Linked DNA regions of Schizosaccharomyces pombe. The gene in region 1 interacts genetically with each later gene. Each region holds a gene or a part of one and is shown on either strand. Other genes may lie near its edges. The genes, in order: urh2 and mag1.

Region 1 (17,134 bases):
TTTGGTAAAAAAGTAAACAGATCATACTTAGTATTAGTAACAGCATTATTGCCGTATTGCGGTTCAGGTTGCCCTACCTGAATTACCCTAAATGAAGAATCCAACGATATACCTGCATTGCTGGCTTCATGACTGGACATAAGAGATTCAGTTTCGTCTCTATCTAATGAATACAATCCATGGCCATTTGAAACTGAAGACTGGCGACTAGACCTAAACGATTTATTGAGCACTTTAAGTGGTATAGAAGGATTGCTCAGATTTTTATCTTTTATCCACAGTTTCATCTTGGACTGAATTCGATTTAGTCTTGAGTCCATAGTGAACTGCGACACTGGCTAATGGAAAGCAGTGCGCTTTGCAAAATTTGGAACCACACTTTAAATATATAAAAATTTAAAAATTTAAAGATACTAATTCAAATACTTTGGTATTAACCAACCTGTAAGTTTCCCAAATGTTCGGTTCGGTTTAAGGCGGTAACGATAAGCTAAGAGGATATCAGTAACAACAACTAATTTGCGCAGTTATAAAGTTAATAGTTTTTGAGTAATTATAAAAAAAATAATAACAAAGCAAGGATTCTAAAGAAAATAACTTTTCATGGTCATCGGTATTTAGCAATCAAACAAAATTTTAAATTTAGAACTATCAATTAGTATCTGATGACAAGAATGGTAAGCTATTTTTAAGCTTTGTAAAAACAATTGTATTTGGACTATAAAACGTATTTTTATTATGCATGAACAACTAATATGTTTCATTTTATAAACGTAAAGCTTTCTATTGAAAGTTGTTGTTTTGACTTGTGCTGTTGTTTATAAATTGTAAATAAAATAGATTTGATACACCAAATAAATACTAACATAAACGTACAAATAAACACTACATAATTTCAATTCTTATTTTCTATCAATCTTAATAAAGAAACATTTAAACATTTGTTTAAAGTTTCTTCAAATAAATAAATATCTGAGACCTGCTAGAACGAATGAATACGAGAAATATGTTCGACATTCTGAGGAAAGGAATTTTTAAAGATGAAATCACTCAAATTGAAAAAATCCTTTTAAAAATGGAAGATAACACTTACGAATATGTGGATGTTTTTTTGGAGAAATACGAGAGTCAACAAAAACTTTTACTAAAACTGACCAAAGCAATTACTGAATACTTATCCAATTTAAAACCACAACTATCTAAGCAGGAAAACATATATGTCAAACACATTAAAAGTTCGAATGAAGCAAAAACAGAGCTCGAAATTTTCAATTGTTACAAGGAGATATCAATATCAAAGGAGAAAAAAATTAATTCATTGCTAAAACTTGTACGAGAATCAGCCCAAGACTATACAATCAATGAAGAAAACGATATTTTATATCATTCTGAGATATCTGCAAAAAAAAACGCAAGTCCCATGGAATTTGGGGATGCATCTTTTGATTTAGAAAAACAAAGACTTCATTTTGCAAATTCAAATTTACATTCTATTGAAAGTGAACGAAATGAGAGTAGTTTATCTTTGGATTCGGGAGAAAGTGAAAAAAAATCAGAAGAGGATAATGGAAACGGCGAACAAAATTATATTCCTGAGCAGTATGAGCGATTGGATAGTCCAGTGAAAGAAAAAATCATTAATACATGCTGTAAGGGAAAAGCTGAACCCCCCAACTATGAGAGAATAAAACCGAAAGCGAAAAAAGGCAACCAGATGCAGAAAATAAAAATCAGTAAACTTGGCACTGCGGAAACGCAAACAGAAGATGTAATGAATAAGTCTTCACAAAAAGAAAACAACGATATCCTTCGCAAACACAAAACATCAGTTAAATTTCCAACTAATCTCGATGCACTCAATTCTTGCACAATGGAAAACCATGAAATCAATGAATTGACCGCTACAAACAAGATGAATGATGGACCTATAACAAAATGTGCAAGAGAAACTATCAATATAAAGAATTTAAAGACATCGAATTTGGAAAGAAATCAAAATTCTCCGAAAAATAAAAGGACTGTAAGTTATGAGCGGCTGGCAAATTCCTTCTCTTTTAATGCTCTCAACGATTATAATTTAAAAAAAGGTGGAGAAAAGCTTAGGAAGAAAGCAATTAAGAGAGCCCTCAAGGACAGGGGTTCCCAAGATAAGGCATATGGAGGTGTTGTACAGAGTAATTCACGTCAACCAAAAGTTGGTTTTCATGTTAACAATTCATCTTCAGGTCACAATGATAATGAGGGAAATCATTCTCTAATTCTCAGCAGTAAAACGAAATCGCCCCAGTTATTTAACAATGAAAAAAAAGACGAAAGTTACTCAGGTTTCTCGAATACTAACAGTTACGCTATAGAAGAGACTAGCCGGGCTTTAATGGGAACCTCAAAAACCAGAAAACCAGAAAATAAATCGAAGTATTTGATAAAGAACGGTTGGTTTGAAGATTCATTAAACTCGGAAATTTGGAGTGATGCAAATCCTTTGGACTGGAGAAAAACTGATATTCTTGAGGAGAGCACGTCCATCGTTTACAAATAGAGATTGTGGGACACAAACACCGATTGATTGATTTCTATTACAGGCCACATTATTCTAATTGTAAATCGTTTAAGGAAAATATTGCATACAACAGATTTTGGTAAAACTCCTGAGGCCAGTAGAATATAGTTCTTCAAAGTTATGAAATAATTAGTACGTTAAGACATTCTAATTTATTTCAATTGGGCGGTTTGGAAGATGGCTTAAATATACAGCTTTTGATGACTGCAAAACACAGGCAAAACCTCACAAACAAAGGATTTAAGGAATGAGCACATATACAAGCAAGAGACCAACAGTACTTACAAATTCTATCAAGCGGACCAAGATAAATAGTATAGCAAGATAATATGTATTAAAATAACAATTATTAAGGAATTGAAATATAAACAATCCGTACAGTAACAATAATTAGTTTTTGTAATGATACATTGATGTTGGCAATCTGCAGACAAAGGATGCTATGTTAAAAATGGATATAATGAAGTATTTCGTAATTCTCTGTGTCATTAAATGGCGACAGTCTTTCCACTGAAGTAACACAGAACAAGCATATAAAACTACAACAAAATCATATCTAGTCGTTACATAAAATGGTTTATGCAAGTTTAGGTAAAGCAATCGAAGAAAACTGTCCAGAAGAATATGTGGAGCAGGCAATTCAAAATGATCCGAATTCTCTTAATGCGGTAGATGATGTATGTGAAACTAATAATTAATATTGTTATTCTATTGTGAATTCGAAAAAGAAAATGAATATGCATTGACAAGAATAACAAGTGTAACTAAGCTACTAAATGACTCATGTTGTTTTTACTAATCACAAATATTGTTAGGACAAACGTACACCTCTCCATTGGGCCTGCTCTGTTGGTAAAGTTAATACCATTTATTTCTTGTTAAAGCAACCCAATATCAAGCCGGACGAAAAAGATGAGGCAGGATGGACGCCTTTAATGATCTCTATAAATAATCGCTCAGTACCTGATAATGTAATAGAAGAACTAATAAACCGTTCCGACGTTGATCCAACCATAACGACTCGCGGTGGTCAAACATGTTTGCATTATGCCGCTGGAAAAGGTCGTCTTTCTATTGTTCAATTATTATGTGATAAGGCCCCAGAACTTATTAGGAAAAAGGATCTTCAAGGCCAAACACCATTGCATAGAGCCGCAGCTGTTGGAAAGATTCAAGTAGTCAAATACTTAATTTCTCAACGCGCACCCTTGAATACTTCGGATTCATATGGCTTCACACCATTGCATTTCGCATTAGCAGAAGGACATCCAGATGTTGGTGTCGAATTGGTGCGTGCTGGAGCTGATACTTTACGTAAGGATTCTGAAAACCATACTGCTTTGGAGGTTTGCCCTGATCGTATTGTTTGCAATGAATTTTTAGAAGCTTGCAAAGAGCAAAACCTTGAAATTTAGTTCCATATATTACGAGAAATTAATGTTCAAATAAGGTGAGGTTTTAAAACTCATAAGCGACTGCTTTAAATTATACAATTCTCTTAATTTCGTATTAATGACCTTAAAAAAAATGCATGGCGTTTGACGAAAATATAGAAAAGGTGGTTTTGTAGCTTCAATTATTGAAATGAAAATTACAACAAAAGAACCATTGTTAACTTATGTTCTCTTCGTTGTCTGAGTGATGTTTTATACTCAATAATTAAAATTATTACTTAAATAATTAACCTGGTATTTTTTTTACATGGATATATTTATTGTTTTCATTCTCTTTTTCGAAATATTATTTTTAAAATAAAAAAAATAAATAAAAAGGAATAGATAGATAAGCATTTTTAAAAGGAAAATGGTTTGTAAAAAAATATGTTTTTTATTAAATAATCTCGCTACAAGCCAATCTGAAGATGTCGGTATTATTTTCATCGATTTGAACTAATTTATGAATTACCGTCTGCATAACTTTTTCAATGATACTGAGTGAAATACAAAGAACGAATGAAAACATTTAATTATTTTCTTCAGTTCATTACTTCAATATACTTATAAGAGTCATAAATTATATACGAATAAATTTATTTACACTTGAAAAAATTGAAAATTGCCTAAATATAATTGACGATCTATATTGAATTTGATATTGTGCTTGTTGATCTGATATTTTCTAATACAGCTAAGATGAAGTAACAATGAGCTGATGGGTGTATCATCAAAGTCTCCCTGCTAATTCATGAACACTTGTCAGAAGCGCTGTGTCTTTTTTTATATGGAAAGAATAGTTTTGCGTTTCTTTCTGAAAAGTTTATGAATAAAAAGATACGATTAAAATGAACTGTGCTTTTACTAAAGAATTAAAGGACGAGATATATCAAAAAAATTATACTGAGCACGAAATTTTACAGAATGCATATAATGGAAAGGTATGTAGATCCGCTTATATCTTAATCCTAATAATAAAACTTAGTTAGATATTTTGTTGCCAGTAGAAGACGCCTCTGAAGAAGCAATTAGATCAATAACGAAAATAGTGCAAGATCTTAGTTTTTATGAATTCTCTGGCTCACCCGCTCTGCTGTTACATCCCGATTTATATTCAACGTTTATTCATACTGGTAAGAAACTTTCTAGGAACACTTTTTTGTAGCTAATTTTTTCAATATAGGAATTGCAACCATTGTTTCTTCATCCGATAATGATAATAAAATATGTATAAGTCAAGGTGAGTTATTTTACGGTACTGTTCGCTTTTCATATCTCTATAGGATATTATTACCCAGCCAAACAATTTCGGGTATCTTTAAGATTTTGAAATTTTTATTGCTTACAGTTAATAAGGTATTCTATCTGTCACTCTTGACAAAGATAGCTATTTGGTTAGTGGTATTGATGCAAAACCTTCTAGTTCTGAACCTAAGGACACTCTATGGGTAGCAAATATTGACTTAAAGTCTGCATTCTTAAGGCCTCAGTGGAAAGGCTTTGAAAGATTAAAAGCTGCTTTGGGTCGTCTTCCTGGAAAGTGGAGTTTTTATCTTACTTTTCCAACTGAGAAGGTTGATCAGTCTTACCAAAACAACTTGTCTCACTCGCTTCCTGTTCCCATGATTTCGCGAGAAATCAACCTAAAAAAAGGAAAACTAGACCAAGCAAAAATCCCACCGCCACTTGTATCAACTCTTAATAGAAATGAACTCTTTCCATCAAACGGTCCATTAGAGGTTTTGGAAATTCTTTCTTTTTTACGTTGTAATGCAAAATGTGTGCAAAATTCATTTGTTCCTGATCCTTACATTTCACGTTACAAACCATCTTGTGCTGTTACTGACGTTCTTTATCTTTCCATCAAAGGGTTGTTTTCTTCTTCTACTTGTTTAGAACTTTACGAGTTAATAAGGTAATAACTACTTATACGTTTTTAGATGCTAACAGTAAAGGAATATTTCTTGGAATTTTATAGGGGTTGAAAGCTTCAACTCTTTCCGTGACGTTGACAACTCAAGTCAATTACACTCTGGTGATAGTTCTTTGCTGAGTTTCTATGATTCCCGTACTGAGCGAATTCGTTGGACATGGAGATTGAGTTGAATTGTTTTGTCATCTAATGTGTTTTCTGCCAATAAAAATATAGACGTTTTGGAAACACGACCAGTTTAAAAAATATGAATTTATGTTATCTTATTCTATATTCCCAAGTAATTATATTTACATACATATTCCAAAAAATAAAGTCTAGTGTACACATCCTGAATATAATTCAGAAAAATAAGGAAAAAAACCGTATTGTAAGTACTAGTAAACGGGTTCCAGCATTCCTTCTATTATTATTTTAGGTAAAACAGTCAGATATCTTACGTTTCCATCAGTCGAATCAACTTCATCGCCTTGCCATCTCAATTTTTTAAGCAAAAAGTTAGATTCAAAAGCTTTAACGTCAGAAGAAGAAGTCCCCAAAGTTATATGAAGTTGAGGGTTGCAAGTTTTACCATACCAGACGCTGTTTTCATTCATAGTGACTCGAAAACAAATAACTCTATCATCCCATACAAGATGAGTTATCCTAAACGAAATATTCCCCATTTTAGTAGTATTTTTATCGTGCATATGCTGTAAGTATTGTTCCCAAATCCGACTATTTACCGGCTTCTGTGACTCGTGGATCATAGTAATATGAAAGGAATCTTGTAAGGTGTATCTGGAAAAAGCCTCCTGCCATTGCAAATTAGCTATCGTTAAGACTTGAACGAGAGAAGACTCCACTGTCTTCCTGTCAAGCAATACGCCAAAGTATCTTGGCGCTTTTTTAAAACAAGTAGATGAGCCGGTAATCCCTTCGGCTGTGATTTTATTCTTTATCTTTTTTGAGTCATTACCAAAAGTTTTTCTATAAGTCGGGACGTACTCATTAACGGCGTAATTAAGTGCAGCTGCATAGTCGTCATCACTGGGATCATTTGGGATCAATTCTGGTATGTTTTTTTTGAAATAATTTACAATTCGACGTGCGTTTTCCAAGGATCCTATCAAAGGATCCAGTTCTATAATATCATCATAATTAGCATCATGTTTATTTCCTGCAGGATCGAATGGCTTATACTGCTTATAAAAAGTATTCATAATTGCTTTCACCTTATCGACACCCTCTGAAACCTTTATTGATTGGTGCCGATCACCACGTTGAAGTACACGATTTTGAACAAATTCCGGAACTTCCGGTGTATGCTTGAAAGGAAGAGCAACGAATCTGACGCCATCAATTAAAGCCAAGATGTCGGTTTGAAGAGTACTTCTCATGTTGGAAATGTGATTGTTACGATCGGCAAAAACAACAGAATGTCCGTTTCTAAATTCCTCAATAATTGCTTTAGCAAATCTTTTTGGTCCACCTTTTCCTGAAGGAAGATTATCGTTTTGCACTACAGGCCAGCCAAAAAGCTTTTCTAAAATTTTAGCAACCGTAGTTTTACCACAACCAATAGTGGCGATAGGTACAAGTAAGGTGAATTCTTTCCCACAATCATTGTCATTCGAAACGGAAAGATGCATCAGATCTAATTTTGAAAGCACCAAAAACTCATCTCGTAAAGAAATTATACCTTTATTGCTCATATATAATCGTTTAGCATCCTCGTCTTCCTTAAACTTTTTGTCACAGAAAGTAATATATTCAGCCGTTACTTTTTTATATTTTGTGTAACTTGGCTTTTTACCAGATATTAACATTTTGGTGACTTCACGCCATTGACGAAACATGCCATACGGTTCTGGAAATTTATATTTGAAAAAGAAATCATTAGAAGATTGTTGCTCAAGAGATGAATGATCAGAATGACAACGAATAACAAACCCTTCGATTGCCCTGTTATTCCATTTGCCATCTTTAGAGGCATTTTCTAAAAAGGCTTTGAGCTCATGAATGCTATCCATAAAAAATGAAGAAACTTTCATAAATCCCCATTGTTCCGCAAATTCAGCAACTTCACAGGATGATGCAGTAATAAACTGCGGGCAATTCCGATTTAATCCATGCAGATATAGTCCACGAGAATTTCCAGTGTATGGAAGAATGTGCTCTTCAAACTCATCATCACAGAGTTCAGCCACAGCAGTCATGTCTCTACGAAGTAGTTCATGGGCCAGCTCTTGTTTAGTGCGACCAACACTTTGCAAATGTTTTTCAAGCCAACGTTCCCCAACGTTTGCATGAGAGACTGATTGTCCTTCCACAATACCTAAAGAATGCTTGCTAGAAACAATGATCTGTCCGTCTGGCAAAGCTGCAATAAATATGATACAACCATTTTCTTTGACTGTCAATTCATAAGGTCCTTTAGTGTGTTGAGAAAGTGCATCCCAAGTAGTAATAGGGACTTCATCAATATTAAAAAATTTATCGTACCCACGTATAACAATGCGATGTCTTTTACTTTCATAGTCATAGCCAGTAAACAAACCACGCGCGTTTGTAGGTAAAGTAATTCTATGTCCAGATATAGTATCAAAACATTTTTTGCTATTGGACACATTTAAACGAAATGCCTGTTCCCAGATCCTCCAAGAAGTTAAATCATAATTAGATTTGGGAGCTTTGAATGTAACTGATCTAACAGTTGATTTTTTTTCTCCGAATATGCAAACTCTTTGATCACGAGTCTACATAATTCTTGAACCAAATCTTCTGAATTATTAAAATTCAAAACCATAATTTTTTAAGAAAAAATAATAAAGCAAAAGCCTTGAATTCAACGAACTTCCTTTGACTGAATGCTCTACAGAAAAATAAGCAACTATGTATTTTTGGAAGAAATCAATAAAGGAAGAAAAACATAAGCTTTTCTCAGCAGTTGGCCGGAAGAAGCAACTACACTGATTTGAAAAGAGTAGAGCGAAAGACAAAAACTAATTTATTTCTGCTCACAGTTAAGCTTGGTATATGGAAGCAACATTAGTTACGGTAGATTCTATTATGTCTCAGTAAAATCTATTTACAAATTCAAAAATACCTGATAAATCTTGATCTACTAATTAAAGCGAGCACGTATTTATTTCTACTTATCAATAATAAACGGGTTGTTTTTTCATTGATATAATGTTTTGTCTTCTACCTTCTGTGCAAGCTTTAATAAGTTAACAAATTAGCTGAAGTTACAAATCTTTACTTCGTTTTAGCAATAGCATTTTCAAAAGTAAAAATTCCAGCTGTTAAGAATTCCGATAACATTTTACATATGGATGTAACCAACATTATTATTCATTAGCAAACAAAAAATTCGGTTAGTTTTTAATCATGCTAGCTGTTGATAAATGGTTTCAGGAATTAAACGGAAAGTCATTGCAAACACTAACCGTAGCAAATAAATTTCAAATCATAAGTCAAAATAACGTTTTTCTACGTTTTGTGAGCCACTCTCTTGCAGTGCGTTACTCAAATGTATCCAGAACAGCGGAAAATTAAACGAAAATTGATGAAGATAGATTTCAAGCGTCGGCATTTTTGATACATTAATTGTCTACTTACAAGGTCGGTTGAATAGACAATTTCCGCATTAGGGGCTACTAGGCTATCCATCTGTGCAATATTTATTACCATTTTTAAACCACAACACCACATATCTCTTTGCAAGGTTATTAGCCATATATTTTATTGTGTCCTCGTCCAGCAAGAATATTATCTTCGGATGTCCAAAGTAATAAAGTCATAAAAAACCTCATAGCTAGTACTAATCGATTTTTTTTTAAGCTTAGTGATTATTGTGGCACCATGACTAACACAATTGATTCATTCCAAAAAGGCTCCGCATTAGAAAACTATAACATATGGATCGATTGCGATCCTGGACATGACGATGTTGTCGCCTTAACATTGGCTGCTTGCGCTGGACATTGTAAAATTTTGGGTGTTAGTACCGTACATGGTAATACAACGCTAGAATTTACTACCAAAAATGCTTTAGCGGTAATGGAGCTTTTAAATCAAGATGTTGATGTTCATGCTGGCGCAGCGAAGCCCTTGATGCGCGAGTCCGCGTTCGCTACTCACATACATGGTACGAATGGGCTTGCAGGGATTTCATTGCTTCCTGATTATCCCAAAAAGAAGGCTACTCCTGATGCGGTGTTCGCTATGTATACCACTATTTCTAATTATCCAGAGCCTGTCACTCTCGTAGCTACCGGTCCTTTGACAAACATTGCATTGTTATTGGCAACGTACCCAAGCGTTACCGACAACATAGAAAGGTTTATATTTATGGGTGGTAGCACAGGCATTGGAAATATTACTTCTCAAGCAGAATTCAACGTGTATGCTGATCCTGAGGCAGCTAGGCTCGTTTTAGAGACTAAATCACTTATCGGCAAACTATTTATGGTGCCGCTAGATGTCACTCATAAAGTACTTTTAGATGCAAACATTATTCAGTTACTGCGTCAACATAGCAACCCATTTAGTTCCACACTGGTAGAATTGATGACTGTCTTTCAACAAACTTATGAAAATGTCTACGGAATTCGAAACGGTGTTCCCGTTCATGACGTTTGTGCTGTTGCTTTGGCGCTGTGGCCATCTCTGTGGACCTCGCGTTCTATGTATGTGACTGTAAGCTTAGATTCTCTCACTCTTGGTCGCACTGTCTGTGATGTATGGTCGCAACAAAATCAGTATCCGGCTAATGTTCATGTTGTTTTGGAAGCTGATGTTTCATTATTTTGGGAGACGTTTATTGGAGTTATAGACAGGCTCAATTATTTGTAGTATATTTATGACATTATCGACTAGTGTTTTATGTTTATTTTTTACAACGATCAAGTTCTCCCTTCATTTTCAATTTTGAAAGCACTTCAAGCATTCATCATGCCCTCTTATATCATCCATTGGAAATACAAAACCAAATACTTTCTTTTTTACTCAAAGAAGTACGTTTATACTTTTGCATTGCATATAGTTTTATAAAATCTTAGACTATAAAAATATCATTATTTGAATTTAAATACTAACAACAAAGTATGTATAAATAAATGCTTAATTATAAACAAAAGGGTGTACGAGTAAGTGATAGGTTCGTAGAATTGTCAATAGCATCATTTTGGCAAATAAAATCAGTAGACGCCAAGTTGGTCTTTCATAGTACATTAATAAGGCACTTTAAAAAAGCTCAATATGAACAACCAGAACGTATTATATTCTTAAGTCGAAGAAAAGGCTTAAAAATACTAGAATTAATGTGCCAATTTTATAGTCCTATGTACAAGTAGCTTGAGAATATTTTCTGAAAACAAATTCAAGAAAAAAGGGAAGATAAGAATAAATGTAATAGCAAAACAAGAATAAAGTATACAAAGACATTATATTTATGGTCATATAGGGTGGAGAAAGTAGCTACTCATCACCAGACGCGGAAGAGGCTTCACTAGTTGTCTTGTCAGAAAAATTACCATGATCAACAGAGGCTTTCTCCTCGTGATCTGCTTCAGTTTCCTCACCAGTAGGTTCTTCTTTGACAGGAGTTTCTGTGGTAGCTGATTCGTCATCTTTTTCAATTTCCTCTTCTTTAACAGTATTCTTTTTAACTTTTTTAGCGGGAACACTTTCATTATGCTCACCTTCATTAGCTGCTCGACGAGCACGGGGGCGTTTTGTCTTTCTTTCGGCTTTAATGGGCGGAGCATCCGGTACTTTTTCAACAATGTCTTGAAGAAAATCAAACTGTTCAACACTTTGAACAGCATGCTTTAAATGAGAAACGGTAACACGCTTTGCTTGGTGCAATCGCGTCTGTTTGCACGATTCTTGAATTATACTCTGCATGAACAATTCCAACGCTTTCGACATAATAACCGGAGTAACTTGAGCGACCTTTCCAACGTCCTGGTCTGCTTGCATAATCTTTTTTATACGAGCAACAGGAAATCTGCTTTTCCAGTACGTAGCAGGATTTGGTTTAGTTTCACTATCATTATTATTTGTTGGATCACCCATTATAAGAAGCAGAATTAACAAGATAATTCGATATTAAAGTCAATAGTAAGTTGGCGTGTAAATGATTGTTTCGGAAATGAATCGCTTGAAGGAGCTGGTAAGTAAGGTAGTAACGAAAACGTATATTACTACCTCTATTGAGACTGTCTGTCAAGTTTTTAAAAAAATTTTTTTTCTAATTTGTCGAATTTGAGAAGTTAAAGTAAAAATCTTCTAGTGCCTAACAGCGGATCTTAGTATTCTTTATAACAAGGTAGTGGTGAAGGACTCGTTTAAAAGCAGAATTTTATGTAGGTCGCGGAAAGCAATAATTCGGAATCACAAGCGACTAACTTCCAGGAAATATAGCAAAGAAACTCGGTAAATATTAATTTGGTTTTCTTTTAGTCGCCATACTTGCCAAGTATTTTGCTCAATATTCCAAATGAAGGCAATTTAGAGGTTCATAATATGCATACAATCACAGTTTAAATAAGAATAAAATAACAGATTCAGATATACGTGTGTAATCAGAGCAAGCAAAACAAACCAGCAACCAAATTTTTAAATACTAGTAAAAAGTTTTTCTTTTCTTAAAGTAGTAGCGAGTAAATACATGCTTACAAATGAACTCAAAGTATTTAAAAGCTTTCATGCTTAAGATTGCTGCTAATTGATATAATATTCCAACTTGTTTTGACAACAAAGACACATAATTTGCAATGTCAGTGCTTTAATCTTTGTACGTAATAATTACTTTTACTAAGAAAATTTCAATTAATAATATGACATTAAATTTATAAAAAATTGATTTGCAATAGCACCTTTGTAGAATCCTTCGAACTAATGACTCAAAAGGACTCGCACTTTACCTTCTTCGAAGACGACACAACGATTATCACTTTCTATACAGAGCTATCCTTGCAAGATATGATTACTCTCTAATTTTACAAAACTAAACGGGATTAATATTTTTTTTTGCAAGAAACTACTTACTATGAGCTATCCTAAAGCACGCATAAGACGATTTTTTCGTCAGCATTGCCAGCGCAGCCTTGAAAGTTCCGCATTGGATTTGGTATGGAAAGTTATAAATGAAACTAGCTATTTCTCAGTCAGTATCTTTTTGGACGCGCTATTCTAATAAAGATATTCAAATTTTTTATATTGAATGTTTTCAACTAACAGAATTTTCAAGGTATATTTGGATTACTGTCTTTTCTTACAATCCTTACTAAAAGAAGCCAATATTGAAGCGGCTAAGACTGGGGAAAGAAGAGTACAGCCAGAACATGTTCGAAGTATTCAAAGAGTAAGCTAATATTGAATAAACTAGATTTATTATCTTTTCAGCAAAGGCGTAAATCGATTGCACTTTATTTTTTAAAATGGAACATACTTACTAACCATTTAGAAAATTCTAGCTCAATTTAAAGGATAAAAAGAGTCATTATGTGGGAAAGAAGACATAAAACAGAATCATTGATTCAGTTCCATAAGCGACAGAATAGTAGATACCAAAAAGTAAGATAAAGCCATATTTATAGATCGGGTCTACTATTGAGAACACGAACTATACATCCTATACCGGATATTTCCACCACCTACAAAACCGTATTAGTGACCGAATAAAAATGTAAAGCATGAGATAAGCAATGCTAGAGCGTTGGGAAAAGCAATAAACTAAAAGTTACCTTTTCGTGCCAATTAAGTAATACAGACGAGTTGTAGGCTTGAGGATTCGCCAATCCACGATAAATGAAGTTTACAATATTATCAATTTCCTCCGTTGAACATTCTTTTACAAATGCGGGAATGTCAGCAGCTCGTATATTGCTTAATACATCAACAAAAGCATTCAAATATTGAGTCTAAAAAAGTTAAAATTCATTTACACCATAATAAAATGAAATCAAGAAGAATTGTAAATTTAATCAATAAATAAAAACGTAATTGATATAAACCGTCTTTAAGCAGTTTGTACAGTTTGCACATACCCTAACTTCTTGAACATCATTTCCATAAGGAACATATGAGAGTAAGGTTTTCAAACCTTGTAAGGCATTTCCTCTATTTTAATTAATAAAAAAATTGCTTCTTTTAAATAAACATACGTTTGAATGGCAGACCGGGCTTGAGGAATGAGTTGAGAGACGGCTGCTTGGACTTGCTCCGCCGTTTCGTTACGAATTGGAAATATATCTTGCTCTGTTAAAACAGGTTCTGTGATGGAGTCGACATCCAAAGTCCGAAACGTCATTTTATAACTCTATAACTGGTAAGGTAAAGAAAACGATGGAACAGGTTAAGTTTCAGCTGTGTGTAGCTCTAAAGAGGCATCATACAACGGTCGAACGCAAGTCTGTAACTGAAGTTATTATAATTCATAGAGTATATTAATTTAACCAATAAGTTAAGAAAATTCAAAAAAATATATTTATATTTTTTTAATCTTATAACTTTAACTTATAATTTTTGAGCGGAGCTATATAAGTCTGGTAACAGCATTACTAACTTCTTCAGTACTCCATAGACCTCTTTTGTGGATGTTTATTTTTTTTTATTTGTAAATAATCATCTCTACCTTTGGTCTTAGATGTAAAGTTCTGAATAACTTGTAGACAGAAATTGGTTACATATTTTACATTTCTGCCTATGGTGATTCAGAAGAAAATATGTTAGATACAGCCTAGTAATTAGTTGAATAAAGATTAAAAGTAATTTTTTTTTTGCTTCTATCTATTTTCAGTATGTATATTGATGTATGAGTTTATACTTCTATTCGAACAATAACTTTTAAGACTTATTTTGCTGACAGAACTATGTAGTTTCTTGTGTAAAGTTCAAAGTAAAACGAAGAGACACATATGTAACATCCTGGGATTAACAGATTTTTAATTAGTGCTCAAACCAGCCAGTTACATTGTTACGTAGTATTTGACTCTCCAGAAGTTAATTATGAATGTAATTCAGTTAACTTAATTCTCTTCAAGCTTTTAACAATTTGCTCTGGGATTATCATACCCAAAAGCCATATACTTTGCGACTTGGAAAATAATAAAAATGACAAGAGATAAATTAATAAAATTTGAGCTCATATTATGTCTATCTGCTTTTTTTTTTTAATACAGGAACAATGAAAATGAAGGTTTTAAATTAGCCTGTTAGCAATTCTTGCAACCGCCGTACGCATTAAACTCTTCACATCAACATTACAGTAGAAGTAAAAGAACTAATTCGGCCATTTTTCTCAATAATTCGGTATAAACCGATATTCAGATGCATAATTAATTACCATTCATCTTTGTTATAAAATATGCCTGTTCACGGGTAAAAAGCATACCGATTGACTATTTTGCTGATTGATTATAGAGTTATTTATTATTCATCGCCTTCAATGGCGACGTTCCTTTCTCCAGCACAGGATAATCTGGTTAGGACCTACTTTGCACAACATTTAAGTAAGCTGACACTGGTTTGGATTTTATTTCTTATGATTGATGATTTCAAGATCTAACTTTGAATTTCAGAAAAATGGGTAGTTCAGTATAAACTTTACAGAAATGCTGTCACTCCAAAAACTTTAGAATTTTTGAAGCAAAACATTAATCCCAGCATGCTGGCGTGTGTGGATGAAGCGACAATGATTGATGCAGAACCTGAACTTGAGGACATCATTGTGCGAACGAAATTATGGAATTTTCGGCAGTCCTTTACTATTGAAGGTTCAATATATGAAGTAGGGAGCTTTAAAGTGGCTATTGCCAACGTTTTACAAAAGTCCGTTTGGAAGGGTATACTTTTTCATGTAACTTACGATGGTACTGAGTCCGTCGATCTCGCACGCCCTATTATTCAAGAATTCTTTCTTAAATGCTTTTTACAAAATAATAAATCGGTAACCCCTGTCTATGAAAGCTTCTTTAACCAGCCTCGTCATTCTTTGGATTCAAAACTTCTACTACAGTTGTTTAAACAACGCATTGATACCGTTTCACAACGCACATAGAATAAAAAAGTATCAATTTAAATTTTTTCTGTAAATAAATTTCTATCTAACTAACTGTCAAAGTCTTGCTTTATTGTCAGCAGAAAGTTATGGCTCCCTTTCACATTTACAGATACCAATTATGTTTAATAATAAAATAGAAATGCAGGAGTTTGAATAACAACCCATTTTAAACTCGATGCATTTCACTGTACTCCAAAAAGTAATTATTCATTCAAAATTATTCAAATAAACTCTAGATGAGATTATGGAATCAGCATTAAAAGCTTATTAATCAACCTTTACTACCAAAACATTAAACGTCTAAGTTTCCAAAATACTATGCGCGCTTATAAAAGCATTGAATATGCTTTACTCTAAGGAATCTGTAACAGCACCCTTGGAGGCAGTGCTAACGTTGCGAGCATATTTTAAAAGGGTTCCTTGTTGGTACTTCAAAGGAGGTGCCTTCCAAACACTGCGGCGTCTCGCCATCTCCTTCTCATCAACCATCAAATCTAAAGTGTTCTTTACAGCATTGATTTCAATGACATCGCCGTCCTGAACAAGAGCAATAGGGCCTCCAACTTGTGCTTCGGGATCAACGTGTCCAATCAAAAATCCGTGAGAGCCACCACTGAAACGACCGTCAGTCAAAAGTGCAACATCCTTTCCAAGACCAGCTCCCATAATAGCACTTGAAGGCTTTAACATTTCCGGCATACCAGGTCCACCTTTTGGTCCCTCAAAACGAATAATGACGACAGTCTTCTCGCCCTTCTTGAACTCACCACGCTCTAAGGCAGCAATAAAATCGTTTTCGGCATCAAAAACACGAGCTTTGCCGGTGAAGTTCAAGCCCTCTTTGCCAGTAATCTTTGCGACAGAACCTTCAGGGGCTAAAGAACCACGGAGGACACGTAAATGACCCTCGGTCTTGATGGGGTTGCTCAAAGGTCTAATGATCTTTTGACCTTCGGCAAGGTCCTTGAATCCTCGTAGGTTCTCAGCGAGAGTTTTACCAGTAACGGTAATATTAGAACCATCGATGAGACCTTCAGCATGGAGATATTTAAGTACTGAAGGAATACCTCCGATAGCGAACAAATCTTCCATAACGTACTTCCCGCTAGGCTTCATATCGGCAATAAACGGTGTACGGTTACTGACGGCTTGGA
Region 2 (17,134 bases), 610 kb from region 1:
CGGAAACGATATATATAGGAAGGCTGGTCATGATGCTTGCATTGTTCAATTAGGACAAGGAAAAGTATTGCAATTTCGAAATTGCTCAAAAAGTAAAGGGATTTTGCTAACACTTTGGTGGCTAAAAACATCCGTCCCTATTAAACGCAGTCGTTACTAGTTAAACGGTCTTTCTAGACATAATAAGTTTTTTATTTTTATTATTTTAATTTTCGCTTTCTCTCTCTCTCTTTTTTTTTTTTTTCAATCAATTCAATGAAGTCATTCGTTTGGACCTTGTTGGGTGCCCTCTCCTTGGGTTCCCTCACCACCGCTTATGGTGCCAACGCTTCTAACTCAAGTGTTCCCACTCCTGATAACACCTTGGTTGTTAGCTACACCAACACTTCTTGCTACACCAGTGGCCCTCTTTCCCCTGACACCCGTTTCAACAGGACTACTAGGGGTACTTTCTCTAAGGTTCGTGATGCTCTCAAGTTCCGTCTTAATGGTCCTATTCACCACTGGGATATTGCCAATGAACTCTTTGACACCGCTTTAGGTGTCGAGATTATCGATACTCAATACGGTATTAACAATCGTACCTCTCGTGACTGGTGCACTGCTGTCAGCGCTTTGGAGAAGGGTGACTTGATCGAATTCGCTGCTGCCTTCACTGCCTTCGATGATGTTAACCCTACCAAGGAGGTCGTTCCTGACGCTTTGGTTGGTACATTGGCTCTCTGGGCCAAATACAGCTACGAGTACGACTTGACTAGCATTGTTAGCTTGTTCGGAAAGAACTGGACTGTTGATGAACTCGGATGGGGAACCTATATTGCTCATAGCCTCAACGAGATCAGCAGCAACACCACCGGTGCTGCTAATGCCACCCTTTTCATTGACACTCAAACCAAGAGCGACTGCTACAAGTTGGCTAGCACCATCGAGAGCTGGAAGTATGCTCCCCTTTCCGCTTTCCCCAACTATGGTCCCTTCTATATTTATGGACAATGTGTCGCTACTTTCACTTCTGGTTACAGCCCTCTCGTTGAGCCTGCCTTCACCTTTGCAAGTGCTTTGAACACTACCTTGAACTCTTTCCCCAACGGTACTTTGCCCACTCAGACCCAAGTTGTTGGAGACATCGGTGTCAAGTTCCTTCAATACTTTGCTTAAATTCTCTCGTTTTTTGATCCCTATTAATTGACGAAAAAGACGGGTCTTTACGTATGAAACTCTCCTGTTAATGCGATTTGCTGCGAAAAGCTAATCCCTTTAGATAAGTTATCTCAAACACGGTCTTGAAACTCCTGGTTAATTGTAGTCGTTTATCGTCTTACATAATTTATTCTATGTGAAAATAAAAATCACTTTTGTTTAGTTATGTGGTCACTGTTGTGAAAAGGTTTATTGTAATGTATTCTCTCAGTAGTAGTAATTGTAGTGAGTAGATAAACGTTTACTGTATTTTCGTCTAATTGCAATTTTATGATGTTCAGTACAAGATATAACTTACTCAATCTTTTTCGATTGGATACATCATACAAATCAAAATTGACACCACTCAAATCGTTAATTGCCATTGTATGCATCTTTAAACTTGTATTATCGCACATATCCACTTTTCTGCTAGTAATAATGTTATCCAACTTTCATTTAGAGCGATATATCTCTTTCTCATTAATCATTTTACCAAGCTGGGTTTGTGAATTCGTTCCAACTGCGACCATCATTATTTGAAATCCATAGTGGTTTATGGAAAGCTACATAAAGCAAAAGCAAAAGAAGGAATTGCAAAATTCGTACTTTATAGTAGCTGAATGATCTATAAACAATAATTTTTGGAAAATACTAAGCAAATAGTTTCGAACGCCTTAAACTCTTGAATTGATTAACTTTTGTACAATCAACTCCAAGCTTCAATACCTAAATTTACTAATTCAATCCTTCTATATGAGATTTCTATAATCATATCTTAAACTTGATTGTAAACCGGATTGTAATTATATTATAAAGCACGCGATCAAAATAGTGAGCTTAGTTGTTGTTTTGCTGATAATGGATAAGATATAATCCTTGCTCATATCTCGTATTTGAGCATCGTATGAATATCTACTTTGTAAGGTTAGGCGAAAATTATTCAACTTTCAACATCTAAAAATTTGATTCTTTTATTTATTGCACGATGTCAGCCTCGCATCCTGGTATTCTCCATGAGTACACAGAAAGGCTTGTTGCTTTCGAGCTAGTTGGAAAAAGTAACGTTACACTTACATCCAACGTAACTCGATCATTATTGTTATTTGTCGGGGGACTTGGCGATGGTCTTTTGACAGTACCATATGTTCAAGAACTGGTCAATCCATTAGATGAAATTGGTTGGAGTATTGTACAGGTTCAAACTCAGTCCTCGTATATAGGATGGGGAACGGGAAGTTTGAAACGAGATGACGAGGATTTACACAAGGCAGTGGACTATTTTTTGCACATTGGAGGCGCGGACTTTTCTACTCGCAAAATCGTTTTGATGGGACATTCCACGGGATCGCAGAATGTACTATACTATCTTACACAGTCCATTCTTCCAAACTACTTAATCGCCGGAATAGCACAAGCTCCAGTATCGGATAGAGAAGCCGCGTATCAATTTAACGGGAAAGAAAAAACAAAGGAATTGGTTGACTGGGTTAAAGCAGAATATCTTGACAAAGGACTAGGAAATGATGTTTTACCTAGAAGCAAGGTAGAGAATTTTTTTGGTGAAGTTCCGACATCTGCAAATCGATGCATTGACTTGACAGATGTCCGCGGAAATGATGACTTTTTCTCCTCTGACCTGAGCGCCGATGATTTCGCTAAAACTTTTGGTAATCTCAAAGAAATCTCCGGCTCCACAGCACATAGTCAGTTGATACTGCTTATGTCGGAAAGGGACGAGTTCGTCTCGCCATCAACTGATAAAGCACAATTACTGAACCGATTTCGCGAATCAATTCGTCCTACAACTTCTAATAGTTCCTTAAGCGGCATCATACCGGGAGCTACACATAATGTCGGGCCAAAATCTTCACCAGAAGCTTTGAAATGGTTGATAAATCAACTTATAACGGCTTTAAGAAGCTTCATTGATCAATAAAGATTCGTAATACATAGAATATGACTTTAGCGCTAAAAGTCACGTAGAACAGTTTAGATAATTGTGATCCGGATGAAATATTCGACAAAATCTCGCAATGGAGATTTAACAAAAGTAATGTTTTAAATTCAAAAGCATACCCTTAAGCTATCAAAAGCTTCCTCAAAGTTGGAGTTTGATAACTTTTGTGATATTTTTTATCTTTGAAGTTACTTTTGAAATGCTATAAAAGGTATATTGAGAACAATTCCAGTTACTAATCTACTGTTTTACAAATTAAGACTTAATGTTTATCCCATTCCCTTCATAGCGCATTTATCCATTTTATACGTGTTAAGATTATATAACAATATTCATCTCCATACTTCTGTCATTGTAAATTAAGGCGTATAGTTACTTCAATTGTATTATGAAGACAACTGCAAAGCTTCTTTATGTTCAACGTCAATGCTAATTAGAGAAAGTAAGCTTAGTAAGGTGGATGAATAATTCTTAAAACACTATGCTTTCTTTATAGCTATTCCATCGTTTTATCCATTTTATGCCTTATTGAACGCCCAATATTTCTTTAATCTGTCATATACTCTAAGGTCGAAGAGTTGTTACTTGTTTAACGGAAGTGGTTAGTTTCCTCTGACTCTCCTTTACAACATTTTACATCTATAAAAGATCTTTGATACTAACTAATGGAAAAAGATATTATATAAATTGATCGTTTCCACCATATTGTTTTCACTGTCCAAGACGTAGAAGCCACCTGTGAGTTCTATGAGCGCACATTAGGAATGTCGGTTATCGCATTTGGAAACAATCGCAAGGCACTCGGTTTCGGTCATAAAAAATCAACTTGCATCAAAAGGGTAATGAGATTGACCCAAAATCACACATACTGACTCCTGGGTCAAATGATATTTGCCTAATAGCTAAAACACCCTTAGAGCAAGTCATTGCTCACTTAAAAAAGCAAAATGTTCTCATAGAAGAAGGTCCTATTACAAGGGCTGGAGCTGAAGGAGTTATCCTCTCTATTTATTTTCGCGATCCAGATGAAAATTTAATTGAAGTTTCAAATTACATCTAAGAATGTTGAATTTGCTTCAAGATTCCTTTTTTTTAGCTTAGGACTTGCTTACATAAATAACGAATTGCAGTGCAATTCCTAAGGAATGAAAACCCTTACCGTTTAGTCAAAAGCACATAATGAGTGATAAATTTTTGATCAATTGAATCTTTGCTATTATGACTTTGGACATTGAAGAGAAAGAAGAGATAGTCACTTCACTCACAAAAGCAGAAATCCATCTTTCTGGATTGGATGAGAATTGGAAACGGCTCGTGAAGCTCGTTGGTAATTATCGACCCAATCGAAGTATGGAGAAAAAAGAGCCTTATGAAGAATTAATTCGTGCGGTAGCATCTCAACAATTGCATAGTAAAGCTGCTAACGCAATTTTCAATCGCTTTAAAAGTATTTCTAACAATGGCCAATTTCCAACACCAGAGGAAATTCGTGATATGGATTTTGAAATAATGCGTGCCTGTGGATTTTCAGCTCGTAAAATTGATTCATTAAAAAGCATTGCTGAGGCAACAATCAGCGGTTTGATTCCTACTAAAGAAGAAGCTGAAAGGCTCTCAAATGAAGAATTGATAGAACGACTTACTCAGATTAAAGGAATCGGAAGATGGACAGTAGAAATGTTACTCATCTTTTCGTTGAATCGTGATGATGTTATGCCAGCTGACGATTTGAGTATTCGTAATGGATACCGATATCTACACCGATTACCAAAAATTCCAACCAAGATGTATGTTCTTAAGCATAGTGAAATATGTGCACCTTTTCGTACTGCAGCAGCATGGTATCTCTGGAAAACGTCAAAACTTGCCGATTATACAAAGCCTGTTAGGCCGAAGAAACACTGAAGGACAGATGTATTATATATTTAAAAGTAAAAAGTTGAATTCGATAAGTTTATTCCTGGTTGGTCTTTTACATTTTATGTACGCTTCTTTTTATTTTTGGTTTACCAATTTATAGTATCTTTTCAATCATTTCTGAATAGAATGTCTACGTCCACTCAGACGAAGCATTTTCGTCACATTACGCTTATATAAAAGAAGTGATTTTTTGGTGAATGATGGCAAAAATAACAAAAGGGAGATGAGATGTTTTAATGGGTTCATTTGCAAATATTTACAAAACACTCTTGGGTGGTTAAGAAAACCCGTTTCTGCTACATTTGTCTTTTACTTTATGTGATACAAGATAGATGACGCTCAGCTGTCTCTAACGATATACTTGCGTATGATATGTTAATAATATAATGAATAATGATTTTTTTTGAACATGCTCATTTCTGTATCTGTATCTATGATGTCGATATAAATATTGAATATTAAATAAACCAGTTATTTCAATTATTTATGTATTGGCATGTAACGAGATAAATCAGCCTCTTTTACCAAAGGATATTTCACCATCATAGATACAATGTCAAATAACAATTGCGCACCAGCCAAGGATGTTATTTCTGCAACATCGTAAGCGGGAGCTACTTCGACAAGGTCAGCGCCTACGAATTTCAGACCTTGCAAACCACGTAAAATTGCTCTCATTTCTCTAGATGACCAACCGCCAGTTTCAGGAGTACCCGTAGCGGGTGCAAATGCAGGATCAAGCACATCAATATCAATGGATAAATATACCAAATTATCACCAACTCTGTCACGAATCTTTTTGACGATACCATCAATCCCCAAATCATCAATTTCACGAGCCTCAATGATTTTGAAACCACAATCAACATCATCATCGTAGTCAGAGAAACTAGAGATAGGAGTACGAATGCCAGCATGAATGTTGGCATCTTTGCTCATAATACCTTCTTGACTAGCAAAGTAGAAATAAGAACCATGGTTTATTCCATCTGCTTCATCGCCATCGCCAATCAATCCAGGAGCCCACGTGTCTAAGTGGCTATCGAAATGAATAACTGAAATAGGTTGTCCGTAAACACGATGCAAAGCTCGTAAGATGGGAAGGACAATGGTATGGTCACCACCGAGTGAAAGGACTCGAGGAAGCACAGTATCATTTTTTGCAAATCCATCATGGTCAGTAAAACTGGAGGGCTTTCGAGCTATTAGCTGGAAATATGCACTTTCTAACTGATCCATAGCTTTAAGAATATCATACGTGGTGACTGGAATATCTCCACAATCCACAAGCTTTGCCCATGATTTGAAAGGATTGATTTCAAGAGGTACATTCACTGCACCGTATTTAGTATTTATGCGTCGAGATCCTTCACGCAAACTGCTTGGACCAAATCGAGCACCAGGGCGGTAAGAAGTGCCTGTATCGAAAGGCATTCCTATAAAGGCAATATCAAAGTCCTCTGACCTTTTACTCAAACATTCAACATTCTCCAAACGACCAAACGTCGCAATCCCTGAATACATAGGTTCGACTATACTTGAGAATTCTACTTCCTCATAGTTACTAGGTACAGCATAGAATGGTGATTGTTTTTCCTTTACGAAAACTGGATTCTTCTCCTGAAAGCCCAAGCCCATCCTCCCAGCTTCTCCAAAGCCAGAAAGTAGCAGAAAAACTCCCCATGTAAACCATTCAACACTTTTCATAATTTCTTGTAGCTACGGTTCTAAGACAGTGAAACTGGCCTTTATATACTTTCAAATTTAGGGCTAATACAAGCCCATCATATCAAAAATCTACTAATCGTATAACTCATTTTATGGCGAATATCGGCGCCTGTATTGCAGAAGTACTGTATAACGGAGTCCATGGAGAAAAATGGCCGATAAATTTTACTGCAAGCATAGGGGGGTGGTTAGGAAAATAAGCTATCGATAGGTTTGGCGGAAATCTAAAGCCTTATTGTTTCTTATTTCATAGAGATGAACCTCGACAAGATAAATGAAAAGGGTAATAGCTTATTGAAATCTCTTATCCTATCCAGAATTTAAATAGAACTTACTTAATCAATAGATTAAGCAGTACATTAGAAAGATGATCATCATCTTAATTAGCAATATAAAAACGGGCTTCTACGTTCAATTGTCTCAGGAAATTTTTTAGGAAATCGTATACTTAATCAAGAGTTTAATCATTTGGCTTTTTGCTATTTTGACTCAATATCGCTATCCCATTTATCTGCTTACTGCCTTCTCACTACCTTTTGCTGTGACCAATTTTTGTTTTTAATATTGGTATTCAATTGGAGTTATTGCCTCGTGTGTATTCAACTGGGGAATCTTTCGTGTTCTGCACTTTGTATTGTTTGGTTTTATATATCGTTAGTTGTGTCTAGGAAAGATGGATGAAACAATTGGGATGAAGAAAGAATTTCACGATATCTCTGTTGGGGACATAGAGGTTGGTGAGTCTGCCCCCGTTACAGAAGACGATAAGATGCTATTGAACCTTGGTTATAAGCAAGAGTTTAAACGAGAATTTTCCCTACTCGCCGTGTTTGGTCAGTCCTTTGGATCCATGGGCCTGTGTCCTTCTCTCGTGGGCTCCATGGCCTTTAGTATGAATTGTGGCGCCGGAGGTATGGTTTGGTCTTGGTTTGTGGGTGCTACTTGTTTACTTCCAATTGCTTTTGCTTTGAGCGAGTTGGCATCATCAATGCCCACTTCTGGCAGTTTATATTTTTGGACGGCTTATCTCTCTCCTCCAAAGTACCGTGCCTTCTTAAGTTGGTTCCTGGGATATGTACTTGCACTCGCATATTCTACAGGATTTGCCTCTACTATCTATGCTGCTGCGGGTCTTGTTCAAGCAACAGCGTCTGTTGCCAATCCCTCGTATGCTCCGACTAAATATGAAGAGTACGGTATCTATGTCGCTTTAAGTTTTGCCTGTTCAGCTTTGATTGTTCTTCCAACAAAGTTCCTTGCTCGTTTCAGCAGTTTTAATGTGGTGTTTCAAATATGCACGATTCTTATATTTATTATCAGTTTAGCAGCATCATCAACTTCCGAGACTAGAAACACTGGGAGCTATATTTTTGGAAATTTCGAAAATTATTCTGGATGGACTAACATGGGTTGGTCCTTCATCCTTTGCTTCACAACCCCCGTTTGGGTTTTGTCAGGCTTTGAATCGTGTGCTACTATTGTTGAAGAGGCCAAAAATGCTAGCAAAGCAGCACCCATTGCAATTATTTCAAGTCTTACGGTATCTCTTTTTATGGGATTTTGCATTATGATCACTATAGCAGGCACAATGGGTCACGACTTTAGTTCTATTCTAAACACTCCCTACGGAGAACCAGTTTCTCAGGTGCTTTATAATAATCTTGGCAAAAGGGGTGCAGTTGGCGTGTCAGCTGTTTTGATAATAGCTCTTTGTTTTAATTGCTCTGCGTTATGCCTGGCTTCTTCTAGAGAAATTTTTGCTTTCGCTAGAGACAAGGGTCTTCCTGGTAGTTGGATATTCCGTAAGCTAACTCCTGGCGGCATTCCACTCAATGCGATTCTTCTTGTCAATCTCTATACCATTATTGTTGGCTTGCTCATGTTGGTTAACGTGACAGCCATCAGCTCTATCTTTAATTTAGCTATCATCGCATTTTTTATTTCATATTCTTTACCTTTAGTATGCCGTTTGTTGTTTAATCGGCTGAACCCTGGAAAGTTTTATTGCGGGAAATTTAGCAAGCCTATTTCAATTGTAGCCGTGGCTTGGTTATGGTTCATGGCGCTTATGCTTCTTTTCCCTAGTTACCAAAATCCGAATAAAGTGGAAATGAATTGGGCCATTGTAGTGCTGGGGTTCACAGTCTTTTTCTGCGTAGGATATTATTATCTACCAAAATACGGAGGTAAAACTTTTTTCAAAGGTCCTGTTAAAACAGTTGATGAGAATGTTACTGAAGGTGTTACTGTGGATTTTCAGGCAGATCATGTGTCCAAAGAAGATGATGGCAAGTCTTATAATTAGCATATTGTATATTAGTTTTGTGTAATAATTATTATGATATTGATTAATCGATGAATAAATATGTGAAAGACTTAGGTACCAATTTTCCTCGATTAAACTATATATATATATATATCTCTGTCATATGGTAATATTATAAACAAGCGTAGCTGAATTCAAAAGCAGTCCGCTATAAAACAGCTAAGTTTTTAAAAGAACATTGCTTCACCTTTTAAAATTCAACCCAGTTATAATATTTTTTAAAAATTTCTACTATATAGCAATCAACACCGAGTTAAACTATAATATACAATTAGGACTTAAAGATGAAGAAGATATTTACCCCATATTCCAAAAAAATGTTTAAGCGCTTTTGACTAACTCACGTCAAAAAGCTCGCAAAATCAAAAGCATCAGCCATAAATGCTGGCTGTACAGCGAAATAATTTTCGGCAGCATGTATAAAATTTTCAGTAACAGATGCAAGTTTTTCAGCAAGGTCTCCACCAATGTCTCTTAATTTAACAAAGAATCTGTTAACAGAATACATCCGATTAAGATCTTCAAAAGCAATGTCGGTGCTCGGTTCTTTGCCATTAACAATATTAGAAAAAAGGACAAGAAAGGGAGTAAATGGACAGTACAAGAATACCCATAAATAGCAAACATTCTTCGCAATAGGAATGATAAAAAAGAATTTAAGCACATTGATAGCACGGCGAGCTGTGTCGAGACAAATATTTGCTCCTTCTACGCTCTCATTTAGACGATGCAAAAAAATTAAGGTATTACAGTAAGATAAATAAACTTCAATACAAGCCGAGAAGAGCCTTTGCTTTTCAAAATCGAGCTCTTCGTAAATTTGTGCGTTCTCAGTCAACGCAATAAAATACTGCCTCAATTCAATAGGTAGTGCACGTTCCCAACAAAGTAGCTTCTCATGAATTTGCCAAATTGCCTTTTCTCTGTTCCTTGCATTTGAAGTATTTGTGCGGCTGTATACTTTTGTTCTGACCTCGTTCTTGAGGATAGTCAAAGAAACTTCTGAGCTGAAAATTAGATCGCCAGTTGGCATTTCTGAAAAGTAACGGCCGTATTCATAATTTGGATGCTCGCAATCAATGTCCATATCACTTAAAACAGATGGAGTTCCAAACACCAATGAAGTTGTAATCTCAAATATATAACAAATCCAGAAGACGCGTCTTCGTAATTCTGCATCTTTGTTGCTAAAATCAGCGTTGGCGCTCTCCCTATGCAAATTCAAGTCTCTGATCATGAGACAAGCTTGCCCACAAAGAGCTTTGCACAATGTGTGCAAAGAAACGTGGGCAGCAAATTGAATCATGATAAGTAAAGCCTGGATTTTTTCAAGCTGAGGTGTAAGAAAAAAACCCGGCTTCTGGATCAAATACCAGGAGGTGGAGAAAAATGATTCAGCAAGTTTTTGATCCTTACCAGCTTTACTTCGTGAAGCTGCTAGGGCCAAAACCGAATAAAAGGAAACAAGCCATGCCCCTTTAACTTGATTCCTGTCTCGGTACAAACACTCATATTCATCCATGAAGTCTTTCTCATAAAATACTGGCCACCAACAATTGATATATCGGAAGTACCACTGTACGTTTTCAAAAGCCCATTCTTTATCCGGAATATCTTTGAAAGCAGCATCGAAATTTGGAAATGTGCTAGAGAATAAGTCGTCAAAAGAGGTCTTTTGAGATGGCAACTCAAATCGACGGCTGTACTCTTTTAACTTCGTATTCACAAGGGAATTTGCATCTCGAATCTGCATCGCTAAAGAAGGGAAATCCTTTCGTTCAGTCCTATCTAAAGGTTCCGATGAATTTTTTAGCAAACTTAAAATCAGGTCCAACTTTTCCTCAACCTTGAATATACGATTGCTAAGAGAAGTAATATCGGAATTTAGCATTGCTGATCCATTTTCGATCGACGGACTTGGACTCAAACTGGGAATTGCTGACTCCAAAACTGGGTTCCCATTCTTTTTTTTCGTGGCAGAATAACTACGTTTCAGACGTTTTGAGTAATGACATTCTTCTTGGTACACTATGCAATTTTGACAGCTAGGTAGTTCGCGATTGCAGCGAATCTTTTTGCGTCGACAAAGTTCACATGCCTTACTAGCCTTTTCCACAGAAGTCATTTGCCCTAACGAAAAGTAATTTACATTTAAAATTTAATTTTTCTCTCGATTGATCTAAACGGAAATGCAAAGTAATTTGGCTGTGAAGTATTGGCTCAAACAAGCAGATAATTCAGGCAAAATGAGCAGCCCTTCCACGGACAACTGCGCTTTACAATTTTTAACGATAATGTGAGCGATCGAATGTGACTTAGTACGGTATTTGCCGTTTATTTCGAAATCTGGTGAATATACTTAAGGAAGGTGATCTTGGAAGTATCAGCGCCCTTTTTGTACTATATAAATCTCCGGATACCAATTACAGGCGACTATTGTAAAAACAGGAAAAATAATCGAGTCGTTGCAGAAGGTATATAGTAGTAGCTTGTGTTTGAGTATGTGTTTCCTTTAAATTAAACTCGGCTGTTCTCTGTTTACCACCACCTATAAGAACCATATAAGATTTATTAGTGCGACAGACAATAAATAACAACTAGAAGAACAATTGTAATTAAATTCTATAATTCCAAGATACACATTAAGATGAAACCAGTAGTAATTTTGTAGCAATTTGCTTTTTCTTACCATATAATATCGGTTTTCCTCATTTACCTGATCTATCTAAATATCCGCGGACTTTACTTTCGGACTTATCATAGAAAACTCCATAAACCAGAAAGCAACTCTCTTTAGTGCCTTGAGTTCCTTTTTATTTAAAAAAAAATCTTTTCCCTTATTTTCAATGCTAATACAGATGAAAATTTTCACAAAAAAATCAGTTTTTAGATCTGATAGCCCTAATTGCGTTTCATTACAGTTGACGATAGAAAACGCAAGTTAATGAATATTTTAAATAGTAAAACTTTTAGAAACTGTACAGATTTGAATAGTTTAAATATTGTGTCAAATATTAGCAAGGAATTTACTCTTATAAAGATCAATATTGAAGTAATAATTAGCACGGTAAAACAAAACAGTAGGGCAAAGTTAACGAAATTCGTTCATTTCTTGATTCCTTGTTTTTCTTCGACATAGAAGAAAGGCACGACGTGTATTTGTACTGATAAATTTAAGTTCATTAAGCATTGATAAAGTTGTGCTATTCTTTCATACCATATCTATAGAGGAACAAGTCAAACCCCTTGGACAAAGCACAGATATTTTTATTGAAGCTAGAGCCTTTTCTACAATTGCATTGTATTCATTCATTCAAAAATGTCACTAAAACAATTCTCAGAAACTGTTTTAAAAATCGTTAAATAATGTACCTAAGATTAGTACTGTCTTGAGTTTTTCGAGTTACAACATTTAGACTCGCTGTTTTCTTGGACATTGACTTTAGACATCTCATTTTACTAGCCAATTGTAATTCGTCAAATTTGATTTCATAATACAGTTACATTAAATTTTGAAGAAATTATAAACTGTGCTTCTATGCATTGTAATCAGTATCATTGTGGATTAGGCCTGGAGCTGCAATGATGAAGACTAATCTAGTTAAAAAATTTCATAAGATTATTTCTTTTCAATATCTATTATTTAATATCACTATCACTTACCTTCCTTGCTATACTTGGTTTCCCATTTTGTATAGTTGGTATTACAGCAGGGAAGCATATATGGTTTAATGGTGTAACAATAATAAGTATGAATAATTCATTTATTCATAAACTACAGAAAAACTTGAACAAACAGACGTCAAATGTAAAAAGATTTGGGTTTCATCTGTAATAAGATTATCTTGTCTATAAATACTTTATGAATGAATTATCCACCGTACTCTCTAGTTTTACAAAAAAAAAATTATAAATATAATAGAATATGATCATTAAAACAAAACCAAAAATTTACCAGATGTCGAGTTTTTATATTGGCAACTTGACACTTTGCACAATGTCATGATACCAAAAGGACTAGTTATCAATACCACCATTACCAAGACCAAATGGTAAGAAGCTTTGAGTGCAAGTAGCTGTGTAAGCATAGGATGTTGCAGCATAAGTGTCAGTGGAAGAAGAGAAGTCAAAGTTAAAGCCTCCCTTTCCACCTCCATTAGCAACGATAAGTCTTATGGGCAGGAAGGATCCTTGGGTTAAGGTTCCCATACTAAATGAGCCCATTCCAGTTTGACCGGTGGTGACATGCCAATAAGCGTAGGCATCATAATTCGTGTTGGACCATCCTGAAATAGCCTTATCGCCAAACCAACCGTAAAATACATCATCAACGTTATAAACATTGAGTTCATATGTATCTGTGTAAGGAACTCTAAAGAAGAATTGATAAACAATAGCTTTGCAATTGCACCTTGTGCTCTCCATGGCAGTCGCATCCGGGGGATAATCAGGAAGATAGTAAGAAGAAGTCCATTCGGGCAAAGCGGCAGTAGAACTCAATACACCTGTGAACAAAGGAGACGATTGGTCCAAAGAGCTAGATCCAAAATAGGCAGGCTGTGTGAAAGCAGCGACGTCTGTATTACCCGAACTAACACAAAATTTACTCTTCGATGCTGAAATATCATAGTTATAAACGGCGTACTGCAGGCCGCGCACACCACTACAAACAGCAGTGGGAATAACAACGACGGTAGAAACTGGAGTACTAGAGCTACTATAAGTAATAGTGGTAGCAACAGTACCCGTATAAATAGTCGTAGGAGCGGGGAGAATTACCTCCACAGTACCTGGAATAGTTCCACTTCCAACAGCAAGAGTCGTAGTGAAAGATTCACTACCACTATAGATAGTTGAAGTAACAGTTGAACCAGAAGGCTCAATTACCTCCACGTTGCCGGATACGGAACCACTAGCTTGAGCGATAGTAGTAGTAAAAAACTGAGAACCGGAAGTGAGGGTACCGGTAACAGTTCCAGCAGCAGGTTCAACTACTTCAACAGTTCCAGTAACAGATCCACTTGCATCAGCAAGAACAGTAGTGTACTCTACGCTACCAGAATAGATAGTAGTGGTGACACTTCCAGCTTCTGGGTCTACTACTTCAACAGTTCCGGGGACAGATTCGGAAGCAGAAGCAAGAGTTGTAGTATATACCTCGCTACCAGAGTAAACAGTAGTGGTGACAGTTCCTGCAGCCGGTTCAACAACTTCAACAGTCCCAGTAACAGATCCACTTGCATCAGCAAGAACAGTAGTGTACTCTACGCTACCAGAATAGATAGTAGTGGTGACACTTCCAGCTTCTGGGTCTACTACTTCAACAGTTCCGGGGACAGATTCGGAAGCAGAAGCGAGAGTTGTAGTATATACCTCGCTACCAGAATAGACAGTAGTAGTAACGGTTCCTGCAGCGGGTTCAATTACTTCAACGGTGCCTGAAACAGTACCACTGGCTGTAGCAAGTGTGGTAGTGTACTCTTGAGTACCAGAGTAAACAGTAGTAGTAACGGTTCCTGCAGCGGGTTCAATTACTTCAACGGTGCCTGAAACAGTACCACTGGCTGTAGCAAGCGTTGTGGTGTACTCTTGAGTACCAGAATAGACAGTACTAGTAACGGTTCCTGCAGCAGGTTCAATTACTTCAACGGTACCTGAAACAGTACCACTGGCTGTAGCAAGCGTTGTGGTGTACTCTTGAGTGCCAGAATATACAGTAGTAGTGACGGTTCCTGCAGCAGGTTCAATTACTTCAACGGTACCTGAAACAGTACCACTGGCTGTAGCAAGTGTGGTAGTGTACTCTTGAGTGCCAGAATATACAGTAGTAGTGACAGTTCCAGCTTCAGGCTCAACTACCTCAACAGTGCCAGGAACAGTATCAGTTGCGGAAGCAAGCGTTGTGTTAAATGGTGTAGTTCCAGAGTAAATTGTAGTAGTAACAGTTCCAGCTGCTGTATCCACTACTTCAACAGTGCCTGAAACAGTACCACTAGCTGTAGCAAGCGTTGTGGTGTACTCTTGAGTACCAGAATAGACAGTAGTAGTGACAGTTCCAGCTTCAGGCTCAACTACCTCAACAGTGCCAGGAACAGTATCAGTTGCGGAAGCAAGTGTTGTGTTGAATGGTGTAGTTCCAGAGTAAATTGTAGTAGTAACAGTTCCAGCTGCTGTATCCACTACTTCAACAGTGCCTGAAACAGTACCACTAGCTGTAGCAAGCGTTGTGGTGTACTCTTGAGTGCCAGAATATACAGTAGTAGTGACAGTTCCAGCTTCAGGCTCAACTACCTCAACAGTGCCAGGAACAGTATCAGTTGCGGAAGCAAGTGTTGTGTTGAATGGTGTAGTTCCAGAGTAAATTGTAGTAGTAACAGTTCCAGCTGCTGTATCCACTACTTCAACAGTGCCTGAAACAGTACCACTGGCTGTAGCAAGTGTGGTAGTGTACTCTTGAGTACCAGAATAGACAGTAGTAGTGACAGTTCCAGCTTCAGGCTCAACTACCTCAACAGTGCCAGGAACAGTATCAGTTGCGGAAGCAAGCGTTGTGTTAAATGGTGTAGTTCCAGAGTAAATTGTAGTAGTAACAGTTCCAGCTGCTGTATCCACTACTTCAACAGTGCCTGAAACAGTACCACTGGCTGTAGCAAGTGTGGTAGTGTACTCTTGAGTGCCAGAATATACAGTAGTAGTGACAGTTCCAGCTTCAGGCTCAACTACCTCAACAGTGCCAGGAACAGTATCAGTTGCGGAAGCAAGCGTTGTGTTAAATGGTGTAGTTCCAGAGTAAATTGTAGTAGTAACAGTTCCAGCTGCTGTATCCACTACTTCAACAGTGCCTGAAACAGTACCACTGGCTGTAGCAAGTGTGGTAGTGTACTCTTGAGTACCAGAATAGACAGTAGTAGTGACAGTTCCAGCTTCAGGCTCAACTACCTCAACAGTGCCAGGAACAGTATCAGTTGCGGAAGCAAGCGTTGTGTTAAATGGTGTAGTTCCAGAGTAAATTGTAGTAGTAACAGTTCCAGCTGCTGTATCCACTACTTCAACAGTGCCTGAAACAGTACCACTGGCTGTAGCAAGCGTTGTGGTGTACTCTTGAGTGCCAGAATATACAGTAGTAGTGACAGTTCCAGCTTCAGGCTCAACTACCTCAACAGTGCCAGGAACAGTATCAGTTGCGGAAGCAAGCGTTGTGTTAAATGGTGTAGTTCCAGAGTAAATTGTAGTGGTAACGGTCCCTGCCGCAGGTTCAACTACTTCAATGGTTGCAGGGGTAGTCCCATTTGCCGAGTCAAGAGTAGTAGTAAACTCGAGACTACCAGAATAAAGAGTAGTCGTTATTGTATTAGCTGAAGTCTCCACTACAACTACATCTGTTCCGGTGTCGGTTTTCGCTGTAATGGTGTAAGTATCAATTGAGCCATCTGTAAGCGTCGTGTATTCAGTATGATGGGTCTTATTCACGGGATAAATCGTTGAAATATAATGCGACGACCCACTTGAGTAAACAGTTACATATTTGGGACATTGAGCTAAAGAAGTATTTGGTGTAACTTCTGATCGCTTAGCGAATTTTATGGGGAGGTGATTTCGATAGTCTTGAGTGACTTTAGGATATGCGAATGTGACGAAGCTGTATAGGCAAATTAAAATTAGCAATCGGGAAACTGCCATTTTACTAAGAAGTTAAGCAAACAAACGCCGAAGTAATAAAGTGTATGAAAGATTGGGGATATATATTATAGGAAAAAAACAAAAACAATTAAACGATGTCAGCAATACTACACTACGCTATAATACACTACGTTGAGTATCACTATATGTCACATGTTCTAATTATATATCGTACCATGTATGATACGATATGGAGATTGATCTTAATGATAATCTATTAAGATCAATATTATCTGAATACTATAAATAGAGCTACTGCTGAACCTCGTTCCTCAGTTCAGTTATGAGCTATATTAGTGATAGGTAACATTATAACCCAGTTAATACAATACCTATACTCA

The links.
Region 2: mutations in urh2 (region 1) and mag1 together harm fitness more than expected from each alone (negative genetic interaction), as found in Schizosaccharomyces pombe (one large-scale study listed by BioGRID).

Annotation. Positions count from the first base shown.
Region 1 is NC_003424.3:2,335,043-2,352,176, forward strand, and holds urh2 (uridine ribohydrolase), read left to right. Parts: upstream 1-9,478; 5' UTR 9,479-9,772; coding exon 9,773-10,765; 3' UTR 10,766-11,002; downstream 11,003-17,134. Other genes in the region: flippase Neo1, read right to left, coding at 1-320; protein mug68, read left to right, coding at 992-2,539; nas6 (gankyrin), read left to right, coding at 3,133-3,237, 3,376-3,975; rpp40 (Rnase P subunit), read left to right, coding at 4,842-4,934, 4,979-5,126, 5,177-5,233, 5,350-5,908, 5,949-6,099; negative cofactor 2 complex subunit Bur6, read right to left, coding at 11,390-11,989; CENP-W family protein Wip1, read left to right, coding at 12,966-13,046, 13,167-13,280, 13,383-13,409; ARP2/3 actin-organizing complex subunit Arc5, read right to left, coding at 13,510-13,572, 13,663-13,839, 13,966-14,038, 14,083-14,228; mediator complex subunit Med20, read left to right, coding at 15,285-15,298, 15,341-15,429, 15,499-15,977; ilv3 (dihydroxy-acid dehydratase), read right to left, coding at 16,329-17,134.
Region 2 is NC_003424.3:2,942,048-2,959,181, reverse strand, and holds mag1 (DNA-3-methyladenine glycosylase Mag1), read left to right. Parts: upstream 1-4,317; 5' UTR 4,318-4,357; coding exon 4,358-5,044; 3' UTR 5,045-5,454; downstream 5,455-17,134. Other genes in the region: SPOM_SPAPB24D3.07C (uncharacterized protein), read left to right, coding at 256-1,158; SPOM_SPAPB24D3.06C (uncharacterized protein), read left to right, coding at 2,168-3,118; SPOM_SPAPB24D3.03 (agmatinase), read right to left, coding at 5,540-6,766; SPOM_SPAPB24D3.02C (amino-acid permease), read left to right, coding at 7,461-9,092; toe3 (transcription factor), read right to left, coding at 9,454-11,238; SPOM_SPAPB2C8.01 (glycoprotein), read right to left, coding at 13,131-16,793. UniProt on the Schizosaccharomyces pombe protein: Hydrolysis of the deoxyribose N-glycosidic bond to excise 3-methyladenine or 7-methyladenine from the damaged DNA polymer formed by alkylation lesions. Can release ethylated and propylated bases from DNA in addition to 3-methyladenine.